Macaca mulatta: one gene and its partners. The protein of the gene in region 6 interacts with the protein of the main gene of each other region in a biochemical or structural test. Links are inferred from orthologs where the notes say so. Each region holds a gene or a part of one and is shown on either strand. Other genes may lie near its edges. The genes, in order: ORC2, RB1, RBL2, CDC25C, POLA1, CDK2 and H1-1.

Region 1 (3,500 bases), on a different chromosome or scaffold from region 6:
GTGCTTGGGAACACTAGATAGCATTCTAACACTATGCTTGGGGGCCATTTTAAACAGCCAAATCACCGACACAAAAGCAGAAAAATGTGAAAAACATAGCACTGAACGGACTGCGAAAAGGATGCTTGTTTATAGTATGAGAGTTGAAACAAGACGGCAAAGCATTGCATTGTTTGACCTCTGCTTAGAATGTGTACATTGGGCAATGCAAACTTTTTGCCACTCTGTGCATGTTTCACTTTGCAAAAGTGCCAAGAGTATTGATTTTGGGATTATAATAAATGTTAGCAAGCAGGAAAATTTGTTATTATAGAATTTGTGAATAATGAGAATCAACTCTACCTGTTTTCAAATGTGTACAGTTGGTATAAAAATGTATATTGTCTGGCTGGGCTCATGTCTGTTAATCCCAGCACTTTGGAAGGCCCAGACAGGCGGATCCCTTGAGGCCTAGGAGTTTGAGACCAGCCTGGGCAACACAGTGAGACTCCCATCTCTACAAAAAATTTTAACAATAGCCAGGCAGATGGTGTGTGCCTGTAGTCCCAGCTAATGGGGAGGCTGAGTTGGGAGGATCACTTGGGCCCAGGAGGTTTAGGATGTAGTGAAATGTGTTTGTGCCACTGGATCCCAGCCTAGGTGAGAGAGAAAGACTGTGTTAAAAAAAACCCAAAAACAAAAAAGTATACTGTCCATTTCTATAAAGAACTGTGGGTAAAATGGGTGTAGAAGTGTGAAAGGAAATTTGGGACAGAAAGCTTTTCAGGTTGGAAACAAAATGAAGACAAAACTAAAGAACATGCCAGAATATTGACAAGATAAAAGTACTATGGAAACAGAGCTAGGATTATTGACATTATCAATAAAATTATCCATCAAAGCAGTTAGGCATTCTCATGTACTTCTCTTAATTTAGTCATTATTAAATGGCAATTAACTATCAGAGACTATATAATGCTATTTCCAATTTTCTGACATACTCACATAACCAAAACATTCACACCAAAAGAATCAGAGATCTTAGTATATAAAATTATCCCAATGTAATGATATATACACAGAATAAAGAAATAATGTTTTATTTATTTATTTATTTTTAGATAGAGTCTCACTCTATTGCCCAGGCTGGAGTGCAGTGGTATGATCTTGGCTCACTGCAACCTCTGCCTCCCAGGCTCAAGCACTTCTCCTGCCTCAGCCTCCCAAGTAGCTGGGACTACAGGCACGTGCTACCATGCCTGGCTAATTTTTTTTGTATTTTTGTAGAGACGGGGTTTCACCATATTGGCCAGGCTGGTCTCGAACTCCTGACCTCAGGTGACCCACCCAGCTTGGCCTCCCAAAGTGCTGGGATTACAGGCGTCAGCCACTGTGTCCAGCCAAGAAATAATGTTTTATAAAAACATTAAACAATATAAAAATATCAGACAAAGATGTAACGCTCAAGTGGAGGCACTTTACACAAGCAAAACAAAACCTGAAAATTATTCTGAAATAAATTAGCTGGGCTTGGTGGTGCATGCCTGTAATCCCAGCTACTTGGGAGGCTGAGGCAGGAGAATTGCTTAAACCCGGGAGGCAGAGGTTGCAGTGAGCCAAAATTGTGCCACTGCACTTCTGGAGTGTTTTATAAACAGAAAAAGGCTTTTGGATATACAAACTTAAGAAAGTGGGACTAACATTTTTCTTCCCTGTTAAGTTCACAGAAAAGGTTCATAGAAAAAGGTCAAATTATTTTAGAGCACCAAGATAAGTGCCATTATTAAAATAATCTTTTTGGGCCAGGTGTGGTGGCTCACACCTATAATCTCAGCCCTTTGGGAGGCCAAGGCAGGAGGACTGCTTGAGCCCAGAAGTTCCAGACTATCCAGGGCAACATAGCGAGACCTCATCTCCACAAATAATACAAAATTAGCTGGGCACAGTGGCACACGCCTGTGATCTCAGCTACCTGGGAGGCTGAGGTGGGAGAACTGCTTGAGCCCAGAAGGTCAAGGCTGCAGTGGGCCATGATGGTGCCACTACACTCCAGCCTGGGCAACAGAGAGACTGTCTCAAAAAATATATATATATAAAATAATAATAATACTGTATGTATATGTATGTATATAATACATATAATATGTATGTATAACTGTACTGTATGTATATAAATACATGAATAAGTAGAAGTATATGCTTAACTTTACCCTAAAACTACAGAGCATCTACTTCATGTTACCTTCTTTAAATCTCTTTACTATCCAGTCTAGCTGATCCAGTATACTGCGGAAAGTACCCATATGATCGAGGACTTCTTCTGTTATAGAATTCAGGACCTATATCATGAATGTGCAAGAGGTGCCACATTAATTACAATTTATTGTCATATACAACTAGAAAATCAAACCTTTTTTTATAAATTAACAATGAATTTGGATTTCCCAAAAGTTTTAAAAAATCACTTTTAAAAATTCTACTGGTACTCGATGAATTATATCTAATTCATTGTTTTTTGCCTAAGTTGTGGCTAAAAGAAAATAGAAAAGAATAGCAAAGATATCAACGTAATAGGTAATATAAGAGGGCAGCAAAAACAAATGAAAAAGCTCCCAAGAACATGAGAAACATTAGAAAACTACAGTTCTATCAAAGGAAACAGGACACAAACACTATAGACACTTTTAAAAAGGAATACTACATGACTCAATATCCAGCACCCAAAAGATTTCATGTTCAAATGAGGAAGAGAGATTAAGCATTTGAAATAAAAATGATCTATGATAAATGTATTGTAAAACTATAGTCTTCACATCCTGTTGCATTTTAAAGCATTTTCACAGCATGTAGTTTGTTTTTTTTTTTTTTTTTTTTTTTTTTGAGAGGGAGTCTGGCTCTGTCGCCCAGGCTGGAGTGCAGTGGCCGGATCTCAGCTCACTGCAAGCTCCGCCTCCCGGGTTTACGCCATTCTCCTGCCTCAGCCTCCCGAGTAGCTGGGACTACAGGCGCCCGCCACCTCGCCCGGCTAGTTTTTTTTTTTTGTATTTTTTAGTAGAGATGGGGTTTCACCGTGTTAGCCAGGATGGTCTTGATCTCCTGACCTCGTGATCCACCCGTCTCGGCCTCCCAAAGTGCTGGGATTACAGGCTTGAGCCACCGCGCCCGGCCCCGAGTTTTTGCCTAATAAAGCATTTTCATAGTTTATAACAAAACTGAAGACCCCATAATTCCCTTCTTTAGAAGTACCACTGATACTCAGTGTAGTAAACAAAACTAACATATTTTCCTAAGTTTTAATACATGTCAGTTACAACGTAGGACATTCAAAGATGGTTTCAAAGCTAGATTCTTCTGAGTCCAAACACATGGTATTAAGCACTATACAATCCTACTACCGTGAAGACTAAAACAAAAATTCTTTAATACTCCATCCTCATTTATGTGGAGGCATGAATTGGCAGAGGATATAATGTTTTTCCCTTTAACATTTTGAAACTTACTGATTTCACACTGATTCCGGG
Region 2 (3,500 bases), on a different chromosome or scaffold from region 6:
TTTTTATTACTTCCTACACAATTTTCCAAGCCTTTATTTTTTTTGTAGCCTCACAATATCTCTCTCAATTCAAGGCATATGGCATATGTTCAATAAATATGTGTTGATAGAAATAAAATTAACTCTCTAAAAGAAATAACAATAGTCACTTTCAGATGATACGGTAATATCTCAATATCAATTTCTGGGAGGAGAGGACACATAGCCTTTAAAAAGTACTCTATGTGCTTATTTTATTTACTTATCTATTTATTTATTTTTACTTTCACTTAATTCCCCAGATTCAGAAAGTTTTCTCCTAAGTACTCCTTATCAAGTGTAAGTTCATTCCATAAGTAGTTACCAAATTCAATAATAGGAGTATAACATTCTTCTATCAATTTCCCATGCTTCTCTCCTCTATTCACTGTCTATATGGCAACACAAGAAAACACTAAGAAATAAACTATTGCTTAGTCATTAAAAATTCAAAACATAAAGAAATTAAAACTAAGGTTACATGTGCAAATTAGGATTATAGCATACCTAAAGTCTTAATTTTTAATTACCATTTCTATATACTGATACAAATTAAAAGATATATACTTAGCATGCAACACAGTTTCAAAAGAAACCATTAATCTACAAATCTGATGATTCACAAAGTATTATCCAACTATGCAGATTTGAAGAGCATAAACTCAAGTTGCCAATTTTATTAAAACAAAAGCCTTATCAATAGTTATAATGCTATAAAGAGAATCCTAGACAATATAATTTGTGCCCCTATAATGATTGAACCAATACACCAATACCTATAATTGAACAATAGTATAGATTTTTATACTCTAATAATGGGAAAAATGAATCCTACTATATTCAACAAGAAAAAAATGCACTTTTTAATAATCTAAATAACATAATCTCACAATTTAAGAGCAGACATTTACATTTTCAAACATAATGACGACTATATTTTAAATAAATTATCTAAATACTTTAAAGAATTATGTTCTGTTTTAGAACAGAGCCCTCAGAAAGAATACCACACATCTACAACCATCTGATCTTTGACAAACCTGACAGAAACAAGAAATGGGGAAAGGATTCCCTATTTAATAAATGGTGCTGGGAAAACTGGCTAGCCATATGTAGAAAGCTGAAACTGGATCCCTTCCTTACACCTTACACGAAAATTAATTCAAGATGGATTAAAGACTTAAATGTTAGACCTAAAACCATAAAAACCCTAGAAGAAAACCTAGGCAATACCATTCAGGACATAGGCATGGGCAAGGACTTCATAACTAAAACACCAAAAGCAATGGCAACAAAAGCCAAAATTGACAAATGGGATTTAATTAAACTAAAGAGCTTCTGCGCAGCAAAAGAAACCACCATCAGAGTGAACAGGCAACCTACAGAATGGGAGAAAATTTTTACAATCTACCCATCTGACAAAGGGCTAATAACTAGAATCTACAAAGAACTTAAACAAATCTACAAGAAAAAAATCAAACAATCCCATCCAAAAGTGGGTGAAGGATATGAACAGACACTTCTCAAAAGAAGACATTTATGCAGCCAACAGACACATGAAAAAAATGCTCACCATCACTAGCCATGAGAGAAATGCAAATCAAAACCAGTGAGATACCATCTCACACCAGTTAGAATGGTGATCATTAAAAAGTCAGGAAACAACAGGTGCTGGAGAGGATGTGGAGAAATAGGAACACTTTTACACTGTTGGTGGGACTGTAAACTAGTTCAACCATTGTGGAAGACAGTGTGGCGATTCCTCAAACATCTATAACTAGAAATACCATTTGGCCCAGTCATCTCATCATTGGGTATATACCCAAAGGATTATAAATCGTGCTGCTATAAACATACATGCACATGTATGTTTATTGCCACACTATTCACAATAGCAAAGACTTGGAATCAACCCAAATGTCCATCAATGATAGACTGGATTAAGAAAATGTGGCACATATACACCATGGAATTCTATGCGGCCATAAAAAAGGATGAGTTCATGCCCTTTGTAGGGACATGGATGAAGCTGGAAACCATTATTCTGAGCAAACTATCGCAAGGACAGAAAACCAAACACTGCATGTTCTCACTCATAGGTGGGAATTGAACAATAAGAACACTTGGACACAGGAAGGGGAACATCATACACTGGGGCCTGTGGTGGGGTGGGGGGAGGGGGGAGGGATAGCATTAAGAGATATACCTAATGTAAATGACGAGCTAATGGGTGCAGCACACCAACATGGCACATGTATACATATGTAACAAACCTGCACCCTAGAACTTAGAACTTACCCTAGAACTTAAAATATAATAATAATAAAAAAAAAGAATTCTGTTTTGTTTTAAAGTGCCATGTTTTAAGAAAAGCTATTCTTAAATAAATCACTATGCTGTATTAGATGGTTTAGGGCACTCGAATAAAGCTCCATTCTAATATTCTACTTGATTCTTGGGCTACAGACTGAAATTACATTATTCATTATTGCCTATTTGTTCTTGAGGTAGATGTTAAGAAACACCTCTCACTAACAGATAATTTGTTAGCCATATGCACATGAATGAATTTCTTCAATTATTTAGCTAGTTACTTACTGAGAGCCATGCAAGGGATTCCATGATTCGATGTTCACATCGTTCTAAGTGTTTTATCATTTCTCTTGTCAAGTTGCCTTCTGCTTTGATAAAACTTTCAATCACTTTGTAAAAATCAAAGGCTTTCAAATTAAGCACATTCAGAATCCATGGGAAAGACAAATCTGTTCCAGAATCAAGATTCTGAGATGTACTTCCTAAAAATGAAAAAAAAAGTAACTTAGGTATGAAATATTAACCCTTGAGCTAGGTATTTTTTTTGGAAAGTCTTATCAAACAAAGAAAACAGTAGAAAGGTTAAACGATTTTTATTTAGAGCAGAATTTTTTATTTTGGAGTCTACGGACTCATAGGAAATAGCCTTCCAATTTTGAGTGTATGCACATCTATATTTTTCCTAGAGAAAGGGCTTATAGCTTATCTCAAATTTTCAAAGGTTTAAATACCCTAAACTTATATCAGAAACAGGTTTAGTATCTTACCAGCCATTTATTAGCATATCTATTTTAATTCTCATTAATCCTTGGTAAGAGGAGAGACAGATTCTTCAAGATCCTGCTAATTTCATTAGTCAGAAAATGGTATCTCTTTAAAATATGCATTTCTTGGTTATAAATGAGGATTCACAGTTTTCCTTATTTGTTTACTAATAAGGAAACTAGAAGTTCCTCTTTCACTGTGTTTTGCATCCTTTACAAATGTTCCTTTTGTTTCTGCAAGCAAAACTTTCTTTTAACATTTGCAACATAATTTGCAAAGTGATATACATTTATATTTTTAAAAACACTGTAACTGGCCTTCGTTCTGTTTATCCAGTGGGTTCCAGCTTCAGTCTTTAGTTTCATAACCATGGAGGTTATAGCAGTGCTTCCATATCAGTAGAG
Region 3 (4,063 bases), on a different chromosome or scaffold from region 6:
CCTGTAATCCCAGCACTCTGGGAGGCCGAGGCGGGCGGATCACTTGAGGTCAGGAGTTCGAGACCAGCCTGGTCAACATAGTGAAACCCTGCCTCTACTGAAAATATAAAAATTAGCCGGGCGCGGTAGCACGCACCTGTAATCCCAGATATTCAGGAGGCTGAGGCAGAAGAATCGCTTGAACCCGGGAGGCGGAGGTTGCCGTGAGCCAAGATCGTGCCACTGCACTCCAGCCTGGGCGACAGAGCCAGACTCTGTCTCAAATTAAAAAAAAAAAAAAAAAAAAAAAAAAAAAAAAAAGGACTGTCTGCCCTTCAGAGTCAGCTACCAGAAAATTCGGAGACTGGGGTTTTTAAAGAATGACTTGGCGGGTAGGGGGCCAGGGAGTGGCGAATGCTAATTTGTCAGGTGGGAGGTGAAATCTTAGGGGGTTGAAGTGGGCTCTTGCTGTCTTCTGTTTCTGAGTGGGACTGTAGAACTGGTTGAGCCAGATTATGGTCTGAGTGGCGCCAGCTCATGCATCGGAATGCGGGGTCTGAAAAGTATCTCCAGCACCAATCTTAGGTTTTACAATAGTGATGTTATCCCTGAGAACAACTGGGGAGGTTAGGAATCTTGTAGCCTCTGGCTGCAAGACTCCTAAATCATAATTTCTAATCTTGTGGCTAATTTGTTAGTTCTACAAAGGCAGACTGATCCTCAGGCAAGAAGGGGGTTTGTTTTGGGAAAGCGCTGTAAAAATCTTTGCTTCAAAGTGAAACTACAAATTAAATTCCTCCTGTAGTTAGTTGGGTCTTCGCCTGGGAATGAACAAGTGCAGCTCGGAGGTGAGAAGCATGGAGTCATTTAGGTCAGATCCCTTTCCCAGTGGTAACTTTCTCACTGTTAGGATTTTTGCAAAGGCAGTTTCGTGAAGGTACACAGACAGGCCCTTGCTATTATCCTGGTTTTTTAGATAAGGATATCCAGGCGATGAGGAAGTTTTACTTCTGGGAACAGCCTGGATGCGAAACCTTCACACGTCAGTGTCTTTTGGACATTTTCTCGTCAGTACAACCCTGTTGAATGTTCTCACGATGGGGAGGTATGTGCTTAAAATGCGGGGAAGGTGCTTTTATTTCACCCCTGGTGAAACTAGGCGAGCTAATTTTTTTAAACATGATTTTTGGCCCCCTTGAACCGTCGGCCTGGACTACATTTCCCAGCAGGCCGTGCTCAAGACTACGGGTGCCTGCAGGAGGTCAGCGTCGTTGGCAGCGGCGCAGGCGCAGGCGCGGAGCGGGCGGCGGACGGGCGGGCGCTTCGCGGTTTGAATGGCTGCGGGCCCGGGCCCTCACCTCACCTGAGGTCCGGCTGCCCAGGGGTGCGCTATGCCGTCGGGAGGTGACCAGTCGCCGCCGCCCCCGCCTCCTCCTCCGGCGGCGGCAGCCTCGGATGAGGAGGAGGAGGACGACGGCGAGGCGGAGGACGCCGCGCCGCCTAACGAGTCGCCCACCCCTCAGATCCAGCAGCGGTTCGACGAGCTGTGCAGCCGCCTCAACATGGACGAGGCGGCGCGGGCCGAGGCCTGGGACAGCTACCGCAGCATGAGCGAGAGCTACACTCTGGAGGTGCGCTCGCGGGCGGAGGGGCGCTTCCGGCCTAGTCGGCGTGAACCGGTGCCTTCCGAGCCGCGTCGCGCGCCACGAGAGACCCTCGGGCGGGTTGCGGGATCCCAGCCGGGAGAGGCGTGGGGACCCCCTCTGCGCTATTCCGAGGCACTTAGCCGCTCCGAGGGCGAACCTGCTCTCGCCGCGCTTCCCCGCGGCTTCCGAATGGGGAACGCGTTTTGCCCTAAAGTAACATAGGGAAGCTGAGATCGCGCTGGGGTCCCGATGAGGAAGATGGGTGTGTGTGGCCCATCTGACCCCCCGCCCGCCTTGTTAGTAGAATGAACTAGTGTCGTTATCAAGACCGCACGGAGAAGGGGAGGGGACTTGCCCTTATTTGCACCGCGATTAACCGGGCTGTGGCACCTGGGTCTCCAGGCGTCTCCGTCTGTTCGCTTCCCCCTGTTAACCAAATTGCCTTTGCCCAGACGTTGCTGGCGTTAGAGTCAACGAGCTGATGCGTTTTGGTCTGTGTTTACGTCTGTGTAAACAAATTAAGACTCATTTTCCCCCAGGCCACATGAAATGAGCCCTCCGCCGACCCGTATATAGATACATGCTCCCATTTGTCACTAGGCTCAGGATTGTGGCTACCTCGAGGGCTTTTTGGTCACCCCGGGCATTGCACAGGACTCCTGTTGTCGGGATCCGGGCGTGTTAGGTCGCAGCCTTCGGACTGGGCTTGCGGATGAGAAAAATGGCCATTCTAGCCAGTGACTGTTAGTTCTGTAGGCACCTCCCTTTCATGGGCCAATGGGAAGTGACACGGAAGTACGGATTGTTTATCAGCTCTTCTACTGTGTGTGTGTGGCATTTAAACCTGAGGCCATTTAATTTCTCAAGTAGTTTTATAATTACTTTGGATAAAGAGGGGGGCAAATAGGCCCAGGATGCAAAGCCTAACCAAGGTATTATTTAAATATGATGTTTTTGGCTATGTGTACTGATGAGTGAGGTTATTTTAAATTTGTATTTGCATTAATAGAATTTTGATTCAATTACGATTTCCCTCTTTGAATTGTTATATCTGCAGAAGAAAGATAGTGTATGGTGGCTTTAGAACCCGACAGACCTGGGTGACTGAACAATTTACTTAACCGCTGGAAAGTTGAGTTTTGTGATCTCTAAACTGGAGATATGTGTGTTTACCTCACAGAGCTGTTCTGAAGATTAAATAAGGCAACAATGTAGTTTCTGGCACATAAAGCACCCATATGGACGGTGCTTTCAAGTTTCCTAAGCTCTTTGTATATTTACATGATCTGGCTGAGTAAACTATGTTCCTGTCCGTCTCTCAGTGCCTTTCTGTAGTCTGGCAAAGAGAAGGACTGGTTGACTTTTTTTTTTTTTGCTTTTTTTTTTTCTTTGGTAAAGGGCCTTAAAGGCTTCTAAACAAGCTTTTATTTTACCCTCAGGATGATCCTGTAAATTAGATAGAACAAGCGTTATCACCATTTAGTTGAGGTATGTCAACTCATAGTGGTTAAGTTGTATGAAGTCCAGTGATACATGAGCAAATACCACGTAAGAGCTGGTTAGTAAATTATTTTTGAAAACACATGTTTGATTACTCAATTCTTTTGATTACTGAGACTTTAGTTTCAGCTTCTTAGCCCAGTTTATTCAGTAAATGATTTACTCAGTAAAATATTCATCAAATATTTCTTGAGCACCTGTTCTCAGTGCTACACACTGTTCTCAGTGCTGGATATAGAGCATCAAACAAAGCCTAAAAATACCTGCCTTTGTGGGGCTTATAGTGAGCTACGCTGTGAGATAATGTGGGATGTCATTCTCATGGGAGTGTAAGGGGAAATAAAGCTCTTATGATATTTAATACAGAATACTGGTTATGGAAATTTAATTTGATTCATTGTATTTTCTGTGCATTTTTAACCTATAACTCATTCTTACAGTCCTCAGCCAAAAAAATGCAGCCTCTGAGACTGTTTAGTAATTTTCCCACTGTGTTACAGCTACTGTATGGCAGAGCCAGAATTTGAAACCAGATCTATTTGACCCTATAAGATATGGCCACGAGATGTTAATTTTGAGGATAACTATTTTTTAGTATTATGGAATTTTTCAACAAATATTTTTTAGGACCAAAGATAAACTAGGCAGAGTCTACTCTTTGCATAAATTGTTTAAAAGAGCTTCCCGCTCCGTTTTATCATCTAAGCACGGTAAAATTCTCACAAGACTAATTCTTTTCTTCTTTTTAGGAAAGATGCAGTTGTAGACTTTCTTTTTTTGTTGTTGTTGTTTTCTCTCTGCCATCCAAGTAGTTGTGAATTTTCTAGAGCCAAAATAGAACATTATAGATTATCTTTTAAACCCTTTATTGAAGCACAGGATAATGCTATGACTGACTTAACTTTATACTTTCTAAGAGATCTTGATAGAGTAGAGAA
Region 4 (3,500 bases), on a different chromosome or scaffold from region 6:
CGAGACTGCGTCTCAAAGAAAAAGAAATACATTGTCATTTAATTCTTATATGTTTTATATAAAATATTCCAAAAGGAATGTTTCATAAGTTAACCTTCCAGAATTCTAATTTCAGATTTTCTGAGTGATAATCTTTCTTTTCTACTCATAAAAAAAAAAAAAAAAAACTCCGTAGGTAGCAAAGTACAGTGTTTCCCAGCACTACTTCTTTTAGTGACACATAAAACCTTAAGTTTCTGTGAAATTGTACCTTGTACTATGAAATGGGTATCAATCGAGAGGCTTTGTATTCAAAAGCTCAGTCCTTGAAATTAATATGGCTTACTGGTAATGAAGAAAATCTGAAGGAAAAACAAGATGCATGGACAAAAATAACTCCTTTTACTGATTTTTTATATTTGATTGCAGGTCACCTGGATTCTTCAGGACTTCAGGAAGTGCATTTAGCTGGGATGTAAGTTCTGTTGCTAAATGAACCCCATGCAAAAGCTTTTTAGCACTGGTCATAGAGATTTTATCCTGTGCGGACTCTGCAGAGTGCAAAACCTTTCATATTGGGTATAAGTGGGCTTTGAGGCCTAGTTCCTTACCTTGAACAGTTTCTAAGGTTTCCAGATCTAAATAGTGTTGTGAAAATGAAGGCTATTCATTTTAACTGTCATAATCAGAAGTATCTATAAGGAAATGAAGGAAAATGGTATACTACACTTATATAGGCTTTTATTTGAATGTGAAAAGTGCTGTATCTTAGTAATTCAAAGTACAGAGTGGCCAGGCGCGGTGGCTTACATCTGTAGTAATCCCAGCACTTTGGTAGGCCAAGGCAGGCGGATCAGATGAGGTCAGGAGTTCAAGACCAGCCTGCCCATCATGCAGAAACCCCGTCTCTATTAAAAATACAAAAATTAGCCGGGTGGGGTGGCACATGCCTGTAATCGCAGCTACTTGGGAGGTTGAGGTAGGAGAATTGCTTGAGCCCGGGAGGCGGAGGTTGCAGTGAGCAGAGACCGCACCACTGCCCTCCAGCCTGGGCGACAGAGCGAGACTGCGTGTTGAAAAGAAAAAAGAAAGTACAGAGTGTAGGCTCTGGAATCAGTGTCTGGATTCCTGGCTTACTACTTCATTCACCAGTTGTGACTCTGCTTTAGACCTTAATTTTTTTTATTTGTAACATGGAGACAATAATAGCACTTGTCATAAAGTAGCTATTGTAAGGATTAAATAAACTGTGTATCTAACACATACCAAGCATTTTATTTATGTATTTATTTTTATTTTTGAGATGGAGTCTGGCTCTGTTGCCAAGGATTGAGTGCAGTGGCGCCATCTTGACTCACTGCAACCTCTGCCTCCCTGGGTTCAAGCGATTTAAGCGATTCTCCTGCCTCAGCTTCCTGAGTAGCTGGGATTACAGGCATCCACCACCATGCCTGGCTAATGTTTGTATTTTTAGTAGAGATGAGGCTTCACCATGTTGGCCAGGCTGCTCTTGAACTCCTGACCTCAAGTGATCAGCAACCCCCTCGGCCTCCCAAAGTGCTGGGATTACAGATGGGAGTCACCTGGCCCCGCCTGAATTGCTTTAAATGCTCTAACCCAGATAGATAATGAAATCCACAGAGGGAGGATAGAAATTTATATATAGATATGTTTTTTGTTTGTTTTGTTTGTTTTGTTTTTGGAGATGGAGTCTCACTCTGTTGCCAGAATGGAGTGCAGTGGCCTGATCTCAGCTCACTGCAACCTCCGCCGCCCAGGTTCAAGCGATTCTCTCACTTCAGCCTCCCGAGTAGCTGGGACTACAAGCACACGCCACGATGCCCAGCTAATTTTTGTATTTTTATTTTATTTTTTTATTTATTTTTATTTTTTTTTGAGACAGAGTCTCGCTCTGCCGCCCAGGCTGGAGTGCAGTGGCGTGATCTTGGCTCATGCAAGCTCCGCCTCCCGGGTTCATGCCATTCTCCTGCCTCAGCCTCCCGAGTAGCTGGGACTACAGGCGCCCGCCACCTCGCCCGGCTAGTTTTTTTGTATTTTTTAGTAGAGACGGGGTTTCACCGTGTCAGCCAGGATGGTCTCGATCTCCTGACCTCGTGATCCGCCTGTCTCGGCCTCCCAAAGTGCTGGGATTACAGGCTTGAGCCACCGCGCCCGGCCAATTTTTGTATTTTTAATAGAGACGGGGTTTCACCATGTTGGTCAGGATTGTCTCGATCTCTTGACCTCGTGATCTGCCCGCCTCGGCCTCCCAAAGTGCTGGGATTACAAGCATGAGCCCCCACGCCGGGCTTTTTTTTTTTTTTCTTCCAGACGGAGTTTTGCTCTTGTTGCCCAGGCTTGAGTGCAGTGGCGCGATCTCGGTTCACCACAACCTCCCCCTCCCGGATTCAAGAGATTCTCCTGCCTCAGGCTCCCGAGTAGCTGAGATTACAGGTATGCGCCACCACGCCCAGCTAATTTTGTATTTTCAGTAGAGAGACGGGTTTCTCTGTGTTGGTCAGGCTGGTCGCGAACTCCCAACCTCAGGTGATCCGTCCGCCTCAGCCTCCCAAAGTGCTGGGATTACAGGTGTGAGCCACCCCGCCCGGCCAGAAATTAAATTTTTTTAAAAAATTAGCCCTGGCCGGCACGGTGGCTCACGCCTGTAATCCCAGCACTTTGGGAGGCTGAGGCGGGCGGATCACAAGGTCAGGAGATTGAGACCATCCTGGCTAACATGGTGAAACCCCGTCTCTACTAAAAATACAAAAAATTAGCTGGGCGTGGTGGCGGGCGCCTGTAGTCCCAGCTACTCAGGAGGCTGAGGCAGGAGAATGGCGTGAACCTGGGAGGCGGCGCTTGCAGTGAGCTGAGATCCTGCCACTGCACTCCAGCCTGGGTGACAGAACCAGACTGTCTCAAAAAAAAAAAAAAAAAAAAAAAATTAGCCCCAATACACTGTGCTGGAAAATTAGTAAATTGTATAAAACTCGTTCATCTTTGGTACATGTTTATTTATATGGTTATACAGGCAAAATGAGGGTCTTATCCCCAAGATATCACTTGAGTCTTCATATTTACCACAGAGAATACCCTATGTATTGTTGTTGGAAGAGACATATCAACTGGGAATAGGGCTCCTAGAATGAAATTTTAAAAATGTTGGGATGCACCAAATCCACTGAAGAATAATCAAACAGTATTTGGGGCTAACCTGACAGGCAGTTTGTTTTAATCTGCAGGAATCATCACCAGCACCTAATGAAATGTAGCCCAGTGAGTAGCCTCTCTTTTTTGGGTTTGGGTTTGCTTTTCAGGTGGGAGACAGAGGGTTTCCATTGCACCTGTGACTTGATGCGGGACGTTCTCAGCAAACTCTTTTTTAGGCACAGCTTCTCTGTAGCACTCCGAATGGTTTGGACCGTGGCCATAGAAAGAGAGATGCAATGTGTAGCTTATCTGCAAATAAAGAAAATGTGAGTGTTTAATGGAAACCTAGATATATTGGCAGTTTTATTTTT
Region 5 (3,906 bases), on a different chromosome or scaffold from region 6:
CTGCAGCACCTGAGGTGATGGTCTTGTTACTGGTAGGCTGACTCTCAAAACCAAAGCAGGGAAAGGAATCAGGGTTTTACTGGCCGCATTAACTGGCCTCCACCATTTAACACCTGTATTTTCCCTTGAGTTATAAAGTGGTGGGTGCAGTATTGACACAAACAGGGTAACAGTTTACTGTGAGGCCTAACGTGGGTGGCCCAGGTGCCTAAAGAGGGAAGAGAAAAACCAGGAAGAAGGGGTGACTCCTCCTCCCCGCCCCCCCCCCACCACCAAGCCCCTGCCCCTGATGCGGCCTGTGACAGCTAGTCCAGTTCTGTTTCCTAGAAGACCTTCCATATGTTATTGATTAAATTCTCATTGGGGAAGCAAGTGGGAGCTTTTATCTGCATCTCTAACTGGTGTGGAATGGTGCCTTGGCCGTATTGACTGGCTATGGGATATGCTGGCGGTCACAGTTGTCTTTTACGAGGAAGAGCACCGAGTGACGCTGGTTGTCATTCTAACTCTGCTGTGTGGCAGCGTAAATAGTCCCCTTTCTAACCAACCTGGTGGGAAAAGTCAATATCCCATCAGCAGAGGAGGTAAACACATCAGGAGCTATGTCCTCTCTTTTCCTCCCCTGCTCTGTATTACCGCAGCTCTTTAAATGTGCTCTCCCCAGTCATCAGATGCATTTGTGTCATTCACATGCACAGGGTTGCTGGCCTGCAGCTCTGGCCTGCCGGGAGGCACTGGTTGGGGCCATTGTTGTGTATTCCCAGACTCGGATCATTAGAACTTTCAAATTGTCTTTCTGTTGCAGCCCCACTCTCTTTTTCCACCCCTTTTGGGCATTTTAATTCTCTATAAAACCTGTGGTTCTTTAAAGGACAATTTATGTAATTCAGAAAAGGTTGTGGAGAGCAAATGTGAATGTATAGCCAAGAAACAAAAATCTGGAGTCTGAGTTTTCGTTTTCCGGGTGTTTTATGGACTTGCGTGTTGCTGTTGTTGGAGGTTTGCTTTCTGTGAGTGGTGCGCTCTCCCCTCCATGTTTCCTGCCTGACCGGTTCCTGTCGGGAGGTGCTGGGCAGCCTTGCTGCTCCCAGGCCCTTTGGCACAGGCCAGCATCTTATGGGGGCGGAGTCCTCACCTCAGGCCTGCACATTTCTATGTGGGAGTAGTGATGCAGTGGCAGGGGGAGTAGGCAGAAGTGAGCCTCAGGTGCAGGCTGGGGGTTCTGGCTACCTGGGTTTGCATGCCTACAACCCTGATTACCTGCTGTGTAACCTTGGGTAAGTGACTTAACCTCCCAGTTTCCTAAGCCATCAAATGGGGATGGGGGGCGCGGTGGGCGGGAAAGCAGCCTCTCCAAACACCTTACCAGGTTCCTGAACAAACATAGTGTCAATCCCCCATGTGATCACCGTCTTCACCCAAAAGATCAGACCTGAGCATCACAGCCCCACTGCTCCTTTAAAAGAACAACGTGTAGAAGTAGCAGGCTCTGGGAAGGAAAAGGAGAGGGATCTTTTCTCTTACTGGTAGCACCCTGCTCTGAAGGGAAAGGCCAGGGATGAATGTGTTGAAGGAGCAAGAGTGCCGAATATCCTGAGTTCACGCAGTGTGGACAAAGAAGAGCAAAGAAATCTTGGCCATGGACAGACAGGTGCCCTCGGGGCCACTCACCTCTTGCCTCTTTCAGCAAAAAAGTTTTGTTTAGCAGAGGGAGGTGAACTGGAGGGACTAGAAGAAGCTGTCTAGGCCCAGCTGATCTGGGGAGTTGGGGCTGGAAGGCACCAGAGGCCATAGCTCCCTTTGAGACTAGGTATTTCCTGCTACTTCCAGACTTCGCAAGCAGTTGCATGCATGTGCTCGCAGCACCCATGAAAGTGGTGTCTGCATGTAGAGCTCACTTTGTCTGCTGCAAATGAGCGTGCACCTGCAGTTCACATCAGTAGAGGGTGGCCCCGTCCCCCGGTGTGCTGAGTCAGCTAGGTGCTGAGAAGCGGACAGGCAGGAGAAAGGAAGAGAAGCTTTCACAGAGGAATGGTGGGCAGGGTCTGCATCTGACCGGCCCCAGGGGTAGACCAGAGATAAGATGGTGGAGATACAAATGGAATCAGCATCCTCTTCTCTGGTGGAATACTGAATGTTTTTTAAAGAAACTACCTGAAACTTCTAATCTCTCTCTCTCTCTCTCTTTCTCTCTCTCTCTTTTTTAGATAAATTGAAGAAGCAATTTTTTACCCCCAGAGTTCTGCAGGACTACAGAAAACTCAAGAACACAGCAGAGCAATTCTTGTCCCGAAGTGGCTACTCCGAAGTGAACCTAAGCAAACTCTTCGCTGGTTGTGCTGTGAAATCCTAAGAGAATCCCAGGAGTAACCAAGGAGGGGGTAGTTGAAAAATCCCAGCTTCCTCTCTGCCTCCGCTCTGGCCCTTACTGCCCTTCCTGCCCTTCCTGCATCTGTTTCTCCCTTGGAACTGTGTCTCATGTTTGTGTGAATGTAGACAAGGAAAGGGGGCTGCAAAAATGTTGACTCTAATGTTCCTAAGCATCATAGAAGTTCCCATCTTCATATTAAGATGTACTGCTTTAAAACACAACTCCAGGGCCCTTCCCCAAGCTCCCCTCCCCAAGGTCCTGAAGACCCAGTTTCTGAGGGAGGGAAATTGCTACTTGGTTTGAGAGTAGCTGGAATGTAAGTGACCCCAGGCTTTGCCTCAGGGCCTTTAGCCTATGTACCCCCCCCCCCCCCAATAGAGAGAGGTTCTCAGAGCCTGACTGAAGAGCTGACATTTTGCTTTTTCACACACCAATTAAACCCGATCTAAATCCAAATGCTTCTCCAGCCATCCAGGAGTGGGTGTCCTTTTCAGTCTTGTCTTTTATATAGGTAGCTGAGGGGGGAGATTTAGAAGCTTTGCACTCACTAAATAGATTAAACAGAGCAGGCTTGTTTATTGAATTGCTCCAAAGTCCAACAGACACACACTGAGCAGGTGTTTTACATTCACATTCCCTTTTTGCCCCTTAAATAGAAAGTGCAGGTAAAGGTTTATACAACAAGAAAGCACATTAAAAATAATTTCATACTCTAACAGTCCATTAACATGTGTAGGGGTTGGGGTGAGGATCACTGTGTTGTATTCAGAAAAATTGGGGGGAGGGATGCTTAATTGGCCCTGGTGCTTGCTATTTTTTTCTCATTTCTTCAGAATGGGACCCTCTTTGGCAGCAGCAAAATATATTTCAGTATGGCAGTCTTTCCTCTCTTACATTATTGGTAAGATTATACTAACAAAATGTTTCCCCTTGTACAACTATGCTGTGTTTTTTAAAAACATTGACCTGTGTGTTTTTATAAAAGAAAACGTATGTTGTGCCTTCTACTTAAGAATAAAGTTTTCTAAAGGGAAAGCAGTTGTGGTGAATCCTTACCAGGTGCAAAGAGTTGATTAGAGAGGCAGCAAGGAGTAACATGTGACTAGAGCCAGTTGCTGTGGCACACACCTGTAGTCCCAGCTACTCCAGAGGTGGAGGCAGGAGGATGGCTTGAGCCCAGGAGTTCAAAGCAGCCTGGGCAACATAGTGAGACCCCCACCTCTAAATACATACATATGTGTGTGTGTGTGTGTGTATATATATATATATATAGATAGATGAAAGACTAGAGGCCATCCCCTTTTCAAACCTCAGCCCAGTTTCTTCATGGCCACCTCTATCAGAACCCAGCTCAGGTGTGCACAGCATGATATTTGGTTGAATGTTCTGAGAAGCATTCAGAATTTCTGTGACTTTAGGTCATTTAACAGATGAAGTATGGTTTCTTATGTGCTTTGCTGACTTAGCCAAGCCAAGAGACCAGCAGCGTCTCTTTTTGAAGAGCAAGGCCTAGGACTCCTGAGAAAAAACCGCCC
Region 6 (2,518 bases):
GAGGAAAACGGGATCAGGGATCCCTGGCAACTGAAGAACTAAGAATACTAAAAGGAAGAGAAAAATTCAAACATCTCTCACCTGCCTCATAAGGCCATGGTGAAGCAATAGATTGGAATGAAGCACAATCCCTGTCCCAGGGCCTCCCAAATTCCTCATGCCTGTAGAAGGGACAAACAAGGGGACTGGGGCCAATCATTTTTCTGCAGCCCCACCCAGGCTGAGTCTTGAGTCTCCCAGCCTATTAGGTGAGGCAGAACACTAACTAGGGTATAAACTGATTGGATCTATTTTTTCAACCGAATTCTTTAAAATAGACTCCTCCCAGTGGTTTTGTTTGACTTGGTTTTCAAAAGTTCCAACTTAGCCCCCTGCTATCATTTGGCCTTTACAAACATTGCGGCAGCAGGAGGCTTGGGATCCTGGTCATCTCAAACACTGGAAATAATAATTATGGGGCATTCAGAGATTGGTACGGCAAATCTAACATGTAGGAAGGCTTTTTTTTTTTTTTTTTTTTTAATAGCAACCCTCTTCAGCAGTAACTAAGAGAAGGGAGAAAGGGTGGTGGAGGCTAACTTAAGTGCATCTAATACTGAAACTTCCTTTCATTTTCACTGGTTCCTCCCTTTCACCCCTGTATTCCCAGAGTTGGCTGGCCAAGACTAGAAGGTGAGTGTTTAAGGCAAGATCAGAGGGCCCACCTGAGTCCAAATAGCCCAAGGCCAAGCCAGGTCAAGCCCACACTGGAGCAGAGGGTGAGATTAGGGCTGGGGGCTTCGAGAAGGCTATCAGAGTCGAAGATGGGGTACTGGCTTGGTCACATCCTGGAAGAAAGGGTGAGCCAGGGCTGCCTTGGCCGAAATCCGCTTGTTAGGATCGTAGTGCAGCATTTGCTAGAGGGAGAGATGTATGTTGACTTCAATCATGTGATAGTGGACTAAATGGGCAGCAAATGTTCCCAGAAATCAGGAAACCAGAACTCCTTCTACCCAAGGCGGAATTCTTACTTCCATCCTCCCATAGCTGAACCAGTGTGCCAACAGGGAGAGCAGGAACCAGGGAAACAAAATACTGAGGCCCAGATTTCAGGGTCTCATCCTTCCTTCATCCTGGAAAAGCCCTTCCCTGGGAGAAATGAATGAGGGAAAACAGGTGCCCACTCTCACCGATAACAAGCTCCGTCCATCTTCATCCAGGGGAGGTACAACTTTACTAAAATCTTGCCGGGCCCACTTGGGGAAACTTGGCTTGTAATCAGGCATAGAAGTAACTCCTGGCCACACCACCTCATCTGGGGTCCCCAGAGTCCGAAAGATCCGGAAGAGCTGGTCAATCTCAGAATCTCCAGGGAATAGGGCCCGGCGAGTCACCTGAAAATGGGGAAAGAGAAAATACCAAGACCTATGTTGAAGTCAGTCAAAACTCTCCTCTATACAAAGGAGTTCCCACAGACAGTAGAAGGTCAGCAGGGCCCCATGACTCCCTCCCCAGGGCCTTTCATGGGGTCAGTCACACAGAACCTGAGACAATGAAGTCCCTTCATCTGTCTCCTCGCCCCCTCCTTCCTTCCCCCAACCATGGCTTTGCAGATCCCCAAGGCTGGGTGGGTCTGGGAGGGGCTGAATGTCTGCGATGCCACTGACATGTAGCAAAGGGATCCCAAGCCACTCACGGGGTATGGGGTAGACACTGCAGTCATCCCCCAACCTTGTGATGCAGCCACTTCTAGATAGGAGCACAGCGGGCAGAGGCTCTGTCTTCCATTTCTTCTGTGTTCCCCACAGTACCTAGCATGGTGCTGGCTACCCACTAGGTGCTTAACAAATATTTTTGGATGAATTGAGAGAGGAATACGGACAATTGTAAGGTAATGCACTGGGGGATAAATGCACATTACATATGTACAGGCTAATGGTCTTTAAGCTGTTGGTTACAACCCAGATAAAAGACAATAAAACATATTGCTGATTTGAAGCCTCAGCCTACTGCACTGCACTGTTGTATTAAAGGAGATAGGAGCTTCTACATAAAGCCAGGCCTCAAGGATCCTTCAATCTGAAAAGCCAGAGGTTGAAGGGGGACATGATCTAAATCTTTTTTTTTTTTTTTTGAGATGGAATCTCGTTCTGTCGCCCAGGCTGGAGTGCAGTGGTGCGATCTTGGCTCACTGCAACCTCCATCTCCTGGGTTCAAGCGATTCTCCTGCCTTGGCCTCCCAAGTAGCTGGGATTACAGGTGTGTGCCACCACACCTGGCTAATTTTTGTATTTTTAGTACAGATGGGGTTTCACCATTTTGGCCAGGCTGGTCTCGAACTCCTGACCTCAGGTGATCCACCTATACCTCAGCTTCCCACAGTGCTGGGACTATAGGTGTGAGCCACTGCACTCTGCCTAAATCTGCAATTTAAATGAAGGGTGTGGATAAAGTGACCACAATTGTCTTCACTACATTGCTGGCACCACACAATAAGGTCTACAAGCCTTGAAATGAAGGCCTGAAATAAAAGAGGCAC
Region 7 (2,519 bases), on a different chromosome or scaffold from region 6:
CGTGATTAAGCCATGAATTTTGCTTACTATCCCAGAAGCATTTCTTAGGACCACCCAATTTCGGAAAAGGCTACTTTAGCAATATTGACCCAAGAACGCAATGTCCGCACTTTAACCTTGCATAATAAAAAAGCCTCAAGCCTGGGACTAGGCTTCAACCTTGGTTCGTTACAGTTATGACTAATTAGCTTGGGGTCGTGAGATGCGGGACTTCGGGCTACTTAAAAAAAAAAAAAAAAAAAAGCAAAACAGGTGATCTAAAATTCGACTTTAACTCGGTGCATTTGAATTCACCTTGCTATCTTTGATAGCCTCATCTGGCAAGAATTTACTACTCAACCTATGTTAAAGTTCCTATTGACTCTCCAAGTGATTCTAATATAAATGAGGGCGTATTGCATTTGCTTGGGGGAATTTCATCTGTGTACTACAGCTCTTTTCCCGAAGTGTGTAGGTGGCTCTTAAAAGAGCCGTTGGGTTAGTAAAGTTTCCAACCGAATTTACTTTTTCTTGGGTGCCGCTTTCTTGGGTTTGGCAGTCTTTGGCTTCGTCACCTTAGCCTTGGCCGCCTTGGGTTTTATAGCCTTAGTTTTAGCAGGGCTTTTAGCTACTTTCTTGGGTTTTACAGCTTTGGGTTTTTTGGGACTCTTAGAGGATTTCCTTGTTGCCGCAGACTTTTTAGCATTTTTTGGAGTCTTGACGTTCTTTTTGCTAACCCCCGTGGCCTTTTTGGGCTTTTTAGACGCACCCGTTGCCTTGGTTTTTGCAGCCACCCTTGAAGCGCCGGGCTTGGTTTCCACGGAGGATGCCTTCTTGTTGAGTTTGAAGGAACCCGAGGCGCCGGTGCCCTTCGTCTGCACCAACGTTCCCTTGCTTACCAGGCTCTTAATACCCAGCTTAATGCGGCTGTTGTTCTTCTCCACATCGTAGCCTGCGGCCGCCAGCGCCTTTTTAAGAGCAGCCAACGACACACCACCACGCTCCTTAGAGGAGGAAGCAGCCTGCACGATCAGCTCTGACACGGAAGGGCCAGCAGGCTTTTTCTTAGTGGCCACCGCAACCTTAGCAGGTTTCTTTGCCTTCCTGCTAGCTGAAGGTTTCTCAGGAGCAGCAGAAGCGGCGGGAGCGGGAGGCGCCGTTTCGGACATGGTGACTAATACAGCACACCAAGTAAACTGGTATAAACCTGACCAAGCAGGATGCGAGAAAAAAAAGGCCCCGACTCAGCCTATTTATAGGGTGGGACTGCGCAGTGATTGGTGCCCGTCAGTGCCCGCCCCTCGCACCCTAGCGCCCCCTGCGCTCTGCAGAGGGTTTCCCCCAGTCTCAGAGAGCACCTGGGGGCCTCTAGGGCCTATGGTCCCGCTCCCCTCAACGCAAGCAAACACACCGAAAAAGCCGCTCCGATTGCCTCATTGTGAAGGAAATTGTAGGCCGACTGCCACCTAGTAACATCAGAGGGTGCCGCTTGTCTCTCAAAAAGCAGCTCTGTTTTAGGGAGTAGGTTGATGGGGAGCGGTTTGCAAATGCAGCCCCACAAGCATCCAGGGAGTTTTATTAGAAAGTTTTAGAGGTCCGTTGCCAGATATGTTAGTTTTTAATTTGCAAGAAATGTAAAATACAGTGTTTGAATAGTTGGGGAGGAAGAGGAAAGTGCGGGTTTTAGGCCGTGTTAGGGCTAGTAGTCATCAACTCGATTACATTTTCTGGCAATGTTTTAGAGCGATGTGTCTCGCGAATACCTTTCACGTCAAAGAAGAATGAATCGTAGACAACACCAGAATTCACTAACGCTGCAATTAATACTCAAACTGCAAGTGTGGAAACGTTTCTGCACTTGTAACTTACTTCCACAGTCCAATGTGGGATGCACTTCAGGAATTTCCAATGCCCTTTTCATCCATACAACATGCCCCAAATGGGTGTTAAGGTTTACAACCTGTGTTCCATGTCAGCACATGCAATGAGAGCACCATGACATGGTGAACTCATTGTTTTATTCAACAAAGATTTATGGGCCTCACAAACCTGCGAAAGGCGTTAAATGCTGGGTCCAAGAAACTGGTTCCCCGACAGGCATTCTGCTGGGGAGTTAAGTCTCCTTAGTGTGAAAACAAACGGTAAGTGTAAGCACACCCTGGGGATAAGATTTTATGGTAACCTCTCTTTAGCTTGTTTGTGGCTGTTAAGAGCATTTCAAATTATCAATAAGCTAAAACGATCTCACATTGCCAATCAGAGACTCAGCTAACGGGAGAACAAAAAAAACTATTAAATCGACATCCACTTCTACAATCCTATTCTGGATAACCCCCTAACACAGCGGAGAGTGAGGGAATGCGGTCTATTTCCGTTCGTGCTGTTGTAGTTTTTAAATAAGTCCGAACTGTGCTAAGTAACCTGAGCTTTTTCCCTTTTTCTTCAAACAACGTGTCAACCAAATAATTGTAGTAGTCCCAGATAACTATTGTACCCATCTTCTTTACCAGTGTTTCCTACGTCTATTTTATTGAGAAGCC

What was found.
Region 1: the proteins of CDK2 (region 6) and ORC2 form a complex in vitro, tested with the Homo sapiens proteins (2 studies listed by BioGRID and IntAct, with this or other methods). The link is inferred for Macaca mulatta from reciprocal best matches to the Homo sapiens genes CDK2 and ORC2.
Region 2: of the proteins of CDK2 (region 6) and RB1, one has a biochemical effect on the other in vitro, tested with the Homo sapiens proteins (35 studies listed by BioGRID and IntAct). The link is inferred for Macaca mulatta from reciprocal best matches to the Homo sapiens genes CDK2 and RB1.
Region 3: the proteins of CDK2 (region 6) and RBL2 form a complex in vitro, tested with the Homo sapiens proteins (3 studies listed by BioGRID, with this or other methods). The link is inferred for Macaca mulatta from reciprocal best matches to the Homo sapiens genes CDK2 and RBL2.
Region 4: of the proteins of CDK2 (region 6) and CDC25C, one has a biochemical effect on the other in vitro, tested with the Homo sapiens proteins (3 studies listed by BioGRID). The link is inferred for Macaca mulatta from reciprocal best matches to the Homo sapiens genes CDK2 and CDC25C.
Region 5: of the proteins of CDK2 (region 6) and POLA1, one has a biochemical effect on the other in vitro, tested with the Homo sapiens proteins (2 studies listed by BioGRID). The link is inferred for Macaca mulatta from reciprocal best matches to the Homo sapiens genes CDK2 and POLA1.
Region 7: of the proteins of CDK2 (region 6) and H1-1, one has a biochemical effect on the other in vitro, tested with the Homo sapiens proteins (48 studies listed by BioGRID). The link is inferred for Macaca mulatta from reciprocal best matches to the Homo sapiens genes CDK2 and H1-1.

What each region holds. Positions count from the first base shown.
Region 1 is NC_133417.1:106,027,408-106,030,907, forward strand, and holds part of ORC2 (origin recognition complex subunit 2), read right to left. Parts: coding exon 3,480-3,500; intron 2,319-3,479; coding exon 2,222-2,318; intron 1-2,221. UniProt on the Homo sapiens protein: Component of the origin recognition complex (ORC) that binds origins of replication. DNA-binding is ATP-dependent. The specific DNA sequences that define origins of replication have not been identified yet.
Region 2 is NC_133422.1:27,577,172-27,580,671, reverse strand, and holds part of RB1 (retinoblastoma-associated protein), read right to left. Parts: intron 2,814-3,500; coding exon 2,617-2,813; intron 1-2,616. UniProt on the Homo sapiens protein: Tumor suppressor that is a key regulator of the G1/S transition of the cell cycle. The hypophosphorylated form binds transcription regulators of the E2F family, preventing transcription of E2F-responsive genes.
Region 3 is NC_133425.1:48,916,168-48,920,230, forward strand, and holds the start of RBL2 (retinoblastoma-like protein 2), read left to right. Parts: upstream 1-1,263; 5' UTR 1,264-1,370; coding exon 1,371-1,610; intron 1,611-1,901; exon of another isoform or gene 1,902-2,130; intron 2,131-2,243; exon of another isoform or gene 2,244-2,334; intron 2,335-2,444; exon of another isoform or gene 2,445-2,539; coding exon of another isoform or gene 2,540-2,557; intron 2,558-4,063. UniProt on the Homo sapiens protein: Key regulator of entry into cell division. Directly involved in heterochromatin formation by maintaining overall chromatin structure and, in particular, that of constitutive heterochromatin by stabilizing histone methylation.
Region 4 is NC_133411.1:147,191,334-147,194,833, reverse strand, and holds part of CDC25C (M-phase inducer phosphatase 3), read left to right. Parts: intron 1-408; coding exon 409-454; intron 455-3,221; coding exon 3,222-3,255; intron 3,256-3,365; coding exon 3,366-3,455; intron 3,456-3,500. UniProt on the Homo sapiens protein: Functions as a dosage-dependent inducer in mitotic control. Tyrosine protein phosphatase required for progression of the cell cycle. When phosphorylated, highly effective in activating G2 cells into prophase.
Region 5 is NC_133426.1:24,814,122-24,818,027, forward strand, and holds the end of POLA1 (DNA polymerase alpha catalytic subunit), read left to right. Parts: intron 1-2,207; coding exon 2,208-2,353; 3' UTR 2,354-3,406; downstream 3,407-3,906. UniProt on the Homo sapiens protein: Catalytic subunit of the DNA polymerase alpha complex (also known as the alpha DNA polymerase-primase complex) which plays an essential role in the initiation of DNA synthesis.
Region 6 is NC_133416.1:63,115,116-63,117,633, reverse strand, and holds the end of CDK2 (cyclin-dependent kinase 2), read right to left. Parts: intron 1,820-2,518; coding exon 1,676-1,819; intron 1,374-1,675; coding exon 1,170-1,373; intron 897-1,169; coding exon 792-896; 3' UTR 501-791; downstream 1-500. UniProt on the Homo sapiens protein: Serine/threonine-protein kinase involved in the control of the cell cycle; essential for meiosis, but dispensable for mitosis. Phosphorylates CABLES1, CTNNB1, CDK2AP2, ERCC6, NBN, USP37, p53/TP53, NPM1, CDK7, RB1, BRCA2, MYC, NPAT, EZH2.
Region 7 is NC_133409.1:157,091,563-157,094,081, reverse strand, and holds H1-1 (histone H1.1), read right to left. Parts: upstream 1,149-2,519; coding exon 501-1,148; downstream 1-500. UniProt on the Homo sapiens protein: Histone H1 protein binds to linker DNA between nucleosomes forming the macromolecular structure known as the chromatin fiber. Histones H1 are necessary for the condensation of nucleosome chains into higher-order structured fibers.